3 linked regions of the Oreochromis niloticus genome follow. Each later gene encodes a partner of the first gene's protein in a complex. Links are inferred from orthologs where the notes say so. Each region holds a gene or a part of one and is shown in the gene's direction. Other genes may lie near its edges. The genes, in order: ncf2, cyba and rac2.

Region 1 (3,754 bases):
TGCTAGCTTACATTAGCCAACAAGAGCTAGCTACGTGTAAACACGGTCACAAAAGGCTACACTAAGCTAACGCACTAAATAATATAGCGACTCTCCGTCCACGGTGTCATATCACGCATGGCATGTTTCTTAATAATCTTCGCATTTTTTCCTTTAAATTTGCCTACGTATCATAAAGAGTCGTTGTCTGATAATGTAGCAGACCCATGTTTGTTTAACTACCGATGGGGCCAGTGCTAGTTTGGATCAGCCGGAGGGAGGCAGCGCGCAAGTCGCTCTGCTGTGATTGGTGGAGACAGTCAGCGTAGGTGGGCTCAGGCGGTAGAGAACCAACCACACAGCAAGGAAGCTGGAATAGTTTTCTTCTGAAGGTAAGGAATACATACTTTGGTAAACAACAGAAAAAAACCCCACCAATATAACTGATTTCATTTACAATACAAGTGAATTAATAAAGCTGTGCTAGAGTGCAAAGCTTGTACTAGTAGGTCACTATCGTTTTTAAAAACTTTAAGCCGGAAGTTGTAGTTTGTGCACTTGCACTGTTTCTGATAACTAAAAGACAACAAAAAAGAATACCGACTGCCTGTTTCGAAGTGTTTTTACCTGCTGTAAATCGTGATTCAATAAATAAATAAATAAACAAATAAATAAAAAACCCTATTACTTTCAGTCTTTCTTCTTATCTTATCCTTGTTTACTGACACATCATTAAGTTGTTCTTGTGTAATCACATTCCCTACACCCTGTCCGTCAACATTCCTGGAAATCTATGGCTAAACATCACACGCATGACATATGTGGTGATGGGAACGTATAACAAAATCAGATTAGCTTTATTTAAATACCACACACAAATAATGAATTGTCATGTAGATGACAGAACATCACATTGGGAAAAAAGGGACAACCCTTTAGCTTTAAGACCTGGTGGTAATGTGATATTTATATATACACCAACAATGACTTTCATCACACTTCCTCTTCTCAGTGGTACAAATCAGAGGAACTTCCTTACTGTGGTCTGTAGCTCAGTGTACTCCTAACCTGCCAACATGTCTTTTGTAGACACTCTGCGCCACTGGGATGAGGCGGTAACTTGCGTCAACAGACAAGATTTCTCCAAAGCACTTGAGATTTTCTTGGCTATTCAAGAACCAAACTCCAAAATTTTTTTTGACATTGGCTGTCTCCATCTTCTTAACCAAGACTTCGATGCTGCTGAAAAGGTATGTCTGATCTGCAGGCTGAAGCATAAACACACAAATATTAACAGCTGTCGTATCAGCACATTAGTCCAAACAAGAAACTCTTTTGAAAGTAGCTGAAATAAAATTCTCTGATATGCTGTGTGAAAGCGCAAGTCACTGAGAAAGGAGAAGTAGATCTTACCATGTTTTCTAGAGGAAGTGACTGTTTTTTTCTGTTTCTCAGGCGTTTGATTGCAGCATACGCAAGGATGAACATTTGGCCATCGCCTTCTTTCAAAGAGGAATCACTTTTTACAAAAAGAAGAGGCAAGACACACCTGCCTTTTTCCTTTTTTTTTTTTAAAAAAAGGGACCATATTATTTTTTAAGTTTAATGACGTTATTTAAAAATGCTTCATAGTATATCATATGCAAATGTTTTAACTTTTGTCTCTATGTCTCTATGTAAAGGTATGAGGAGAGTTTAGCTGACTTCCAGAAAACCTTTAAAACACTCAGGGGCAACCAGCTAATAGATTACAAAGCGCTTGGTCTCAGATACATACTATATGCTTGTGATGTGAGTATTCTTGATAACCCGCCCTATTATTAATCCTGAACACTACATCCAAATAATTCATTTGATGTTATGAGCTGTTCATTCATAATACAACTTAGCATTCGTTTTTTTTCCTGGCCAAGGACACAAGCTTAACAATGTCTCCACAGGTTCTCCACAATATGGCCCTGGTTGAAGCTCAGTTGGGTAGATGGGAAAAGGCCCAGGAGTACCTCATGAAGGCTCTTGACTACAAGACAGAGGCCAGGTTTAATATCATCGACAAAGCTCTGCAGTCAATCCTAGTCAGTTGTGATACAATCACTTTTGTGAACCCATTTAAATGTGATTACATGTATGATATCAAATGTAGTAGTTTTTCTTCATTCCATTAACCTATATTTGGTAAGCTAATATGCTTTATTCTAATTTTGCTTTAAGTCAGGTGGATATTGATATGCACGACTGCTGTATTAACCACCGGCAAATATTTTAAGTTTCACTCACAATGAAATTTCACCAACAGAAACAGAAACTTTTCAAACTGGTCGAGTTCCAATCAAAAGAGATGTTCAAACCAAATAAGCACTATGTTGCAGAGCTGGAGAAGAAAGACTACCTGGGCAAAGCAAAGGTGATCTGTTATACAGCCTGTTCTATCTAATCTAGTGTGATTATAAAGCTATCAAAAGTCAGCATCACAACATTTTATTATGTTAGGTAAAATGTCAGTCACTCATTTTATATATATATATGTACACACATACAGAACTTACACATTTGAAATTACTCAGAGAAACCAATAAGTTTATTGTTGAGTGATATCTATAAGCTACTTTCCCCCCCTCTTATCATCAGGTCGTTGCCTCTGTTGTTCCTCAAGATGAGTTCTCTGGATTTGCCCCATTGCAGCCTCAGGTGACACACTGGCTTTTATTGACAATAAAAACTTTACAGTTTGATGACAGAAACAGCAGTGCGTTCTTATCTTCTGTTACTTTATATTAAAATATGCTACCTTGGTGCCTGTTTTAAAAGCTTCCAGTGATCCACATCAACAAAATGGAAATGAACTTGTGCTGCATTATAGAGCAGCACTGCAATCCTTTACAATGTTAAGAATTACTGTTAGATTGAAACTTTACATATTCCAGTGTGTTGCCATGTCTCTGATGGACTGTGTTTTTTTTATTTGATAGGTGGAAGATGGTCCAACTTGTCCAAAAGAGCCTGTGGTTCTGAGGTATGATAGTCACTTTGGATCCATGCAGATTTGAAACTCTTTAAACAGAAATGATCTTAGTATTTAATGATGTTATAGTTGGCAAGTTTTTTTGATATGTGGATTCTCTACTATACATGTTTAGTACAAATACAAAATGGGGGAAAGCATGAGTCATATCTATGAAACTTTGCTTTCCACAAAGAGAAAATGTGACTCAAAGTGTAGATCTAATAATTAAAACCTGAAAATAGAAATGTACCGTTACACAGAATAGTGCCAACTTTAACCTTTGTGTCTTATGTCTCTTCAATTTCACATCAGTTCAGTTCAGTTTTATGTATACAGAGCTAAATCACAACAACAGTCACCTCAAGGCACTTTATATTGTAAGGTAGACCCTACAATAATACATACAGAGAAAAACCCAACAATCATATGACCCCCTATGAGCAAGCACTCTGGTGACAGTGGGAAGGAAAAACTCCCTTTTAACAGGTAGAAATTTCTGGCAGAACCAGGCTCAGGGAGGGTTGGGGTGAGAGAAGGAAGACAGGATAAAAGACATGCTGTGGAAGAGAGCCAGAGATTCATAATAAGTATGATTCAGTGCAGAGAGGTATATTAAGACATAGTAAGGGAGAAGAAGAAATACTCAATGCATCATGGGAATCCCCCAGCAGCCTACACCTATTGCAGCAAAACTAGGGGAGGATTCACTCTTGATGCCATGTGGACATTTCTTGTGTTTACAGGGCTTTGGAAGGAGATCCGCACACTGTG
Region 2 (3,754 bases), on another chromosome or scaffold:
GAATAAATGTAAAAATTTAAAGCTCATGAAACATATAATTAATCTGTCGTTTCATCTTCTTGTATTGCCTTCAAGGTTGGACCAGGCCCGTGTGTTGTAGAGGATCCCACTCAGCAGCTGCTTTCATCTGATGGTTTTCCCAAGAAAATGATGTGATTTCCTCCTGCAGCGAGTTCTACTGAGCAATAGGAAAGCCAATGTGACTTAGTTGCATATAACTTTTATCGCAGCAATACCAGACACCTTCCTCACAACAGCAGAAGATGATACATCTCCCTTTAAATTTTTAACTGTCCTGTTTGGTCTCTTTTCTTAACATCATTACTCCTTTGTGCTCTTTCATAGCTTTAATCATTTCTGTGTATCTGCAGGTAAACACTGATACTGCCTTGACTCTCTGGTCGTAAATAAGTGGAAACTCTTGCAGTGAGCAATGCACTGAGTCATAAATACAGATCAGACTGGAGCCCAGAGCTGACCCATTGTTCTGTCTGATCGAATTATTGTGTGTACAGTTTTCTTGTTTCTTCTTGTTAATCACCATTTCCGACCAACAGTGCATATTTAATTCATGTCAATTTTATGGCACACAATAAAATATATTTTGGTCAAGATTTCATTTGTTGTTTATGATTTTTGTCATTCCATCATCTGATTCTCATCCAGATGAGAAAATAATTATCTATTCAATCTCAGAACTTTAAAAGATTAACTCATAATTCTGGTAAAGAAGCAGCAGAAAGGACAGCAAATAATGGAAAAGAAAAAAAAAATCTTTGACAAATTCCGGTAACCTAACAATCACCGCCACAGTCAACAATCAGAGTGTGTATATCTTGCGATAAAGCCGGTCTTTCTTTTCCTTGTGTTACCTGGCAGGAGTTTTCGGTTCTTCCTCTTTCGCTGTAGCGCTGCATTTTTTCGGAAATGACGCTTGAAATAGGGATTGGCTAAGGCAGAACAAGCCTCGCCCTCTGACCTGCCCACCTGCACCCCTCAAATCTCGTAAATACATTTTTCTTCCTTGTAGAAACCATTATCACCGTCGGTAATCCACGCCGGAGGAGCTCCAGGAGGCTGCAGAGCTGCTGTTAGGTTAACATAATGGGGAAGATTGAGTGGGCGATGTGGGCTAATGAGCAGGCTTTGGCGTCGGGTCTAAGTGAGTATGAAAACTTTATTATTATGGAGGGGGGGTATTTAGCACGTTTCTTATTGTCTTATTCGGTTACATGAGCGGTACTTTTAGCCTCTTGTCTAGTTCATTTACAGAGTATTTCTGACAGCATAATAAAGCACAGTTTACCACCTCTGTGTGTGCAGTCTGCAGGAGTGTATTTTTTAAATCTTATCTTCCTGTTTTCTTCTTTCAGTTCTCCTCACAGGAGGGATCGTAGGCGTTGCTGGACAGTTCAGAGGGTGGCAGTTTGCTGCTTATGCAGTGTATCCTTTATTTTCTGTTGTATTTTTTATTGTGTCTGAATTTTGGCTTATTAAGCCTTTTCTATGTTGTAGAAATAATAACATGCTAAATAGGATTTTATTTGTGGGGGTTTTTTTGTTCTTGGGGTTTTTTGTTTTTGTTTATTTTACCAGTAATTTAATGCATACAGGAAGTTCAAATACTTATAACATGTAAATACATTATAGGCTACACAGCTAATACTAGAGCCTTTGGTATTCTAGTCTGTATTGACGTGATAGAACAGGTGATGTGATTCATCTGTCCTCCACTACACCTTAAACAGACTCTGTAGGATTGAGGTGTGGTGATTGTGGAGGCCATTTTAAGTTCAAGAAACCAGTCTGAGACTGCGTAGTGCACTGCCCAAGTGAAATGAGCATTTACAGTGTAGTCATGGAGGGACACATATGCTTATCAACAATACTCAGAAAGGCTGTTACATTCAAATTATACTGAAACAGTAACGATTCTTCAATTGCTACGCCAAATTTTGACCCCACCATCTGAATGCTGCAGAAAGAGGGTCATTGCCAATCAACCAGGCAACATTGTTTTCCAACCAAGCATGCCCATTGTGGGCTCTGTTTCCTTTTCTTAGCTTAGGTCTAAAGCTGCTGATGACCATTTGCTTTTTTTGACAGATTTTGTGCTCAGAGATCCTCCTCTACACAACATGTGATTTTAGTTTTTATTGCATTGCTGCTCGATCAGTGCAGCTATCCCTCTCCTATCTTTATCATCAGGAAGTGTTTTCGCAGCTCATTGGGTGAATTTTCTTTCTCTCTAAGGCTTATTTAAATTATTATATGTCAAAATGCATTTTGTTCCTGCCTCATAAGTGACTGAATTGGTGTTTTTATTGACAAGTAGTTGAACAAGTGTTATTAATACAATGACCGTCAAATGTTTATGATGCATCACACAGTATGTTAAGCACAACTATGCAGCAAGTTAACATCAAACCTGACCAAATGTTCTAGTGTTATGGATTTAACCGACGCTGTGCTTAGCAATGTTCACACTGACATGCAAGAACGTTATTTCTTTTTATTCAATAATGGCAAAAATACAACATGGGAAAGTACTTTCTTTTCTCCCTCAGTAGCTATTCTTATGAAATAATGGAGATATTCTCTTTTGTATTAGGAACAATCCTCTCATTCATTGTTGTCTTTGCCTGCTGAACCTGCTCAGCGTCACCAGTGTTTATCTCAATTTCACTTCTCAGACTTATCTCAGTGAGCATTCTTATCTGACTTCTTTTGGTCCGGTTTAGTTACTGCACTGTGTTTACTGATGATGATATATTGTTTCTGTTTTTGTGTCTGTGTGACACTTTGCATGCAAATAAAGAACATTATTTTAAAGAAAACACCTTGACAGATAACTAGTGCTGCCGGGGTGTTTGTGTGTCTACTTGAGTATCCCAGAAGCAAGAGGGCCAAGGGCACGAGCGTGGAGAGAACGTAAGCAAACACTGTTCGTTTGGATGTGCGCTGGACTTTAATGGACAAGTTCTAAGTCGCTCATCATTGTGTCTTAATTTCTCTCAGGGGCCAGTACTGCTTCACTGTGTGTGTAAAAGCCTTTGGACCACTCACCAGGAACTACTATGTCAGGGCATTTTTACATGCTGCGTGAGTTCATTATCTCAGCCACAGTCTTTGCCAAACAGCATTCCTGTCACTGTCGATTAGTCAAGGATTATGACTTGTTTTCTTTAGTCTTTTGTCTTCAAAATCCATTTGTTTTTGTTTTTGATTGTTTTTATCCTCAGTATCTGTGTACCTGGAGGTTTTATGCTTGCCACTGTTCTTGGATGTGTCTGCCTTGGCATTGCCAGCCTCATCTACCTTGCAGTAAGTTTGCAGCTTTTTAACCTATTTATTTTTCTTCTGTCCAGCAAGTTAAATAACTTTTTGATAAAGTTGTTAACTGAAGCAGGAACTAGCCAGTTGGTGGAAACAAGGAAATAGCAACAAGGAAGAGGTTGTTTCGTTACTGGCACCTCTGTTGAAAGATGGCCGTGTAGTTATGAAATCTGAACAGTTAGGGGTGTGACTGAATTCCTCTACACCTTTGTGGATTTTGAAGCTTTTGAGGTTGCACTGTTTATTTTTACATTCTCTAAACTACTGTGAGAGTCAAAGATAAGAACCAGTAATAATAATCTTCCTGATTTTCAGTAACAGTACAGTAACTTTCAGTCATGCTTAACTTAATCATGCACAAGCCAGTCATTGTTGATTTGTCATCTTCTTGCTTTGTAGGCCGCTATACGAGGCGAGC
Region 3 (3,754 bases), on another chromosome or scaffold:
TTATCTTATGTATATTTTGTATAGCATTCATGTGCATTACTTGTTGTTTTAAGTCTTTATAAAAGTAAAGTTTGACTTGATTAGATGCATGTCTTTGGACTGTGAGGAGAGGTGGGAGTGCCCATGCATACATTAGGACAGCATTTAGGATGCACACAGAGGGACCACAGCTGGATTTAAATCCAGGATCGTATTGCTGTCACACAATAGTGCTGACCACTGCACCACCATGCTGTTCCTTTTAAATTTACAGACACATAACTTGAAGTTAACCGACAATAAACTTTTATTTGCAGGTGGTTACTTGTATCACTCACACTGTGAGGACATAAATGTGTTTCATAGTATCAGGAGTGCACCAGGAGTGATAACAAGGTTTAATGTTGTTTTAAGATCACCATTAGACACATACTGCAGAAAACACCAGGAAGTGAATGTGAGTCAGTGTCAGGTTGTGTAAACCAAGGGAAATGTAACCGCGCGTGTGAGTGCATGTCTTTAATTAATGAGGTTTACGGAATTCAATTTTTTTTCATAGCAAAATGAAATTTGAGGTAAATTAATTTTAGCTTCCGTATGTTCCGGACATGCTGGTCTGCATTGAATGGTAAATGCCCAACAGTAGAGGAAGTTTTAAATAAAGCTCTTATTGTTAGCAGAACCTTCCTCTTTGTGGCCATTTCACAGCTTCTTCTCTGTTGCAACCGAGACTGCTTTTCAACACCCTTCACATTAATTTTTTTATGGGTGTCTTATTGGTATTGGTAGCTTTTCAGCTTAAGGTCTGTTGTTTGAAAGAAGAAAAAAACAAAACAGGAAGAAGGAGATGAGTGCAAAAATGAAGGGAGAGAGGCTGAGTAAGAAAAAAAGAGGCAGCAAAAGAAGGGGGAGGGAGGTGTGCAACAATTTCCTGTAGTTGCATGCTCTTCAGCGTCTCTCAGCCTTCCTCTCTGAGTCTGTTTCTTTCAGAGTGAAGAGCACAGACGAAGCTGAGCGGAACAGGATGCAGGCTATCAAATGTGTGGTCGTGGGAGATGGGTATGCTATTATTTTACTAATTTTAACCAGTGTGTTATAAATTAAAGAGGCCTTCAAGCTTTGAATTACACAGTGGTCGCCCAGCTGACGTGTAAATGGGGATTGGCCCCAGGCTCTGAATTTCAGGGTAATCAGATAGAGCTGTCAAAGGTTGTCACATGGTAGGAGCAACAGTTTGACCCACTACAGCAAGATTGCTGTTCGGTTCAGCGTAAAAGCGTAAAAGAAACTTCTGTACTTGTGTTTTATGTCCAGTGTTAACATGTAGATCTTAAGGTGTGTGTTTGACAGCGGTGATTCACACTGAGCGCGCTGGATGAGCCATGCAGGCCACAACATGCAGGAAAATGCTTTAAGGCAGCAGAACTCCTCTTCAAAGATGAAAATCCGATAGATGCCACAAAGATCAGTTCAGAAAATACAAACAAAGTGGGAGAAAAGTATGACTAAAAAAAGAAGAGGCAATAAAGAAGCAGAAGCTCAAATGTGTAAATGATTAACCTCATTGTGTTTTTGACATCTGAAAAGTTGTTGAATTTATTTGCCCTAAAGGGTGAAATGTGCTCGCGTAAGAAGTTTGGATGAGCCACCGTCTGCCATCAAATGCGTCTTTCGTTGAAGGTGGGGCAAAATGGCTGGCTGTCAAAGTGAAGGAAATTGTAAAGCGGAAGTCCTACAGTTGTTTCTCAAAAATAGTTCAGTAAACACTTTAACACAGACAGTTAACCATCCAGAGGTAGCACACAGGTACTGCAGTGTGTGTGCAGAGCTTCCTGGTGTGTGACACTGATTTAAAAAATTGCAGAGAGAGAGAAGCCGTAACAGTGACGCGTGTAAATATTTGGAAAGGGAATCATGTGGTGTTGGCTCTATTTCATTTAGCATGCAACATTTACATAAAACCTTTTTTTTTATTGAAAGCCTTTGATTGTCAGCTACTAAAAAGACCTCACATGAAAAATAACAGTTCAAGTGATTTAAACAAATGCAAAACATGATTTAAAATTTGACATTAAAAAAAAAAATAATTGTGTGTTTTCTCTAACATTTTTTGTAGTGTTCAAATATGCGTCAGCTTGAGAACTCTATGAAAGGAGCAAATGTATACATATATATATATATATTTGAATTTATGAAGGCACCTTCATTGTTATGGTTACAGTGACAAGTGACAATGGTTACAGTGACTACTACAGAATATAGAATAAATAGATAATTAAATAACAGTCATAATTAATCAAAAAAAGCATCAATTGTTGGCTGTCAACAGGAAACCAACAGTAGTCAGGTTTTATGTTAACCAACATATTCATACTTTGATAAATTTCTTGTTTTGTTTAAATAACTTGTATTGTTATTTTTCTTAAGAAGCTGTTTTTTAGTAGCTGCCAACCAAAAGCTTCCATTAAAAAAGGTTTTATGTAATTTAAGTGTCCTAAAGTAAATAAAGACAGTTCACTAAAAATAAGTGACAAAACATGTAAAGCAAAAAAAATAAGCAATAATAAGTCGCAGTTTCTGACGTGAATATAAGCTGCTACAATAAGCACTGCAGAGGTAAACAAGCTGAACTTTTTGTAGATCTTATTTCATTACTTTTGACTCCACTCCAGAACTTGACCTAGATTTCAGTTCCACCTTTATTACTTGTTTCTTTACAACTAGTGCTGTGTACAAACTAGTACTGCAAATATGACGATACCAAGTAAATACAGGGCCAGTACTGCGGATACCAATACTCACACTTTTAACCTATAATAGTTTATATAGGGAAGTGCAGTGCGTCACGACTTATGAGACATTATTAGGGACATTATTAATTTGCAAATTCTGAACACATTTTAATGATTTTTACTTTCCACAATAATTAGATAAAACAACAAAACACACCTTTTAGTTTCTCATGAATTTTCAAACTGGGTTTTTCAGAGACCCAGAATTTAATGTTCATGTCTCAAAAGCACTTTGGGTCAGCTTCTGTTGTTTGAATGTTCTATAGGGTATAAATAAAATAGACTTGCAGTCAACACAAAAAGGTTTAGACGTTTTTTAATATGTTGTTTAAGGAATATTATGCTATGTGCAAAAGAAATAATTTATTTAACAGATTCAATGGACTACAGACTTAACTTAAAGCACTGAATCAATCTGATACCAATATCTGTGTTGGTATCAATATTTGGATTAATTCGTCCACCTCTATTAAAAACACAACACCAAGACAAAGGCAGTCGGTTCACTTCAGTGGATTACACAAGCAGGAGGAAGTCATTCTTTCTCTTTAAAAGAAAAATTGAGAAGAGCTTGGAGATGTGCCCAGTTTTACACCTGTGGCCACATGAATAAAAGGAAATATTGTGAAAAGGTTTTCAAAATGTTGCCTTTTGAAATATTTGAAAGATACATTGCAAATAACCCAGCCAGCCCTTTTGAAAGTCTATGTATCATTTTTATGTGACAGCCAGAAAGCTAATGATGGTGGTGGTAATTTTCACATTGATTTCTCATTTTTTAACCTCTGCTAGGCGCTAACAGTGTATATATAGATACATACGCACAGTAGTTAAACTTAACTGCTGATGGAGAAGAGGAAGTCGGTTTCATGTTGTAGGGAAGTCCGCTGCAAGAGTCGTGGTATTTACAGTTTAACAGCACAAGCATTTAAAAGGCTTTTAAAATCTTCACTGGCTCAACAATAACTGGCAAATCTTCATGT

Evidence for each region.
Region 2: ncf2 (region 1) and cyba share a complex: the UniProt entries of both Homo sapiens proteins name them as parts of the phagocyte NADPH oxidase complex. The link is inferred for Oreochromis niloticus from reciprocal best matches to the Homo sapiens genes NCF2 and CYBA.
Region 3: ncf2 (region 1) and rac2 share a complex: the UniProt entries of both Homo sapiens proteins name them as parts of the phagocyte NADPH oxidase complex. The link is inferred for Oreochromis niloticus from reciprocal best matches to the Homo sapiens genes NCF2 and RAC2.

The regions. Positions count from the first base shown.
Region 1 is NC_031974.2:25,538,898-25,542,651, reverse strand, and holds the start of ncf2 (neutrophil cytosol factor 2), read left to right. Parts: upstream 1-1,015; 5' UTR 1,016-1,055; coding exon 1,056-1,229; intron 1,230-1,434; coding exon 1,435-1,517; intron 1,518-1,661; coding exon 1,662-1,770; intron 1,771-1,919; coding exon 1,920-2,054; intron 2,055-2,275; coding exon 2,276-2,383; intron 2,384-2,607; coding exon 2,608-2,667; intron 2,668-2,948; coding exon 2,949-2,992; intron 2,993-3,726; coding exon 3,727-3,754. UniProt on the Homo sapiens protein: Subunit of the phagocyte NADPH oxidase complex that mediates the transfer of electrons from cytosolic NADPH to O2 to produce the superoxide anion (O2(-)).
Region 2 is NC_031965.2:23,060,668-23,064,421, forward strand, and holds the start of cyba (cytochrome b-245 light chain), read left to right. Parts: upstream 1-952; 5' UTR 953-1,104; coding exon 1,105-1,162; intron 1,163-1,373; coding exon 1,374-1,443; intron 1,444-2,856; coding exon 2,857-2,931; intron 2,932-3,018; coding exon 3,019-3,102; intron 3,103-3,242; coding exon 3,243-3,324; intron 3,325-3,735; coding exon 3,736-3,754. Other genes in the region: mvda (diphosphomevalonate decarboxylase), read left to right, coding at 76-156. UniProt on the Homo sapiens protein: Subunit of NADPH oxidase complexes that is required for the NADPH oxidase activity that generates, in various cell types, superoxide from molecular oxygen utilizing NADPH as an electron donor.
Region 3 is NC_031971.2:8,485,760-8,489,513, forward strand, and holds the start of rac2 (ras-related C3 botulinum toxin substrate 2), read left to right. Parts: upstream 1-883; 5' UTR 884-1,003; coding exon 1,004-1,038; intron 1,039-3,754. UniProt on the Homo sapiens protein: Plasma membrane-associated small GTPase which cycles between an active GTP-bound and inactive GDP-bound state.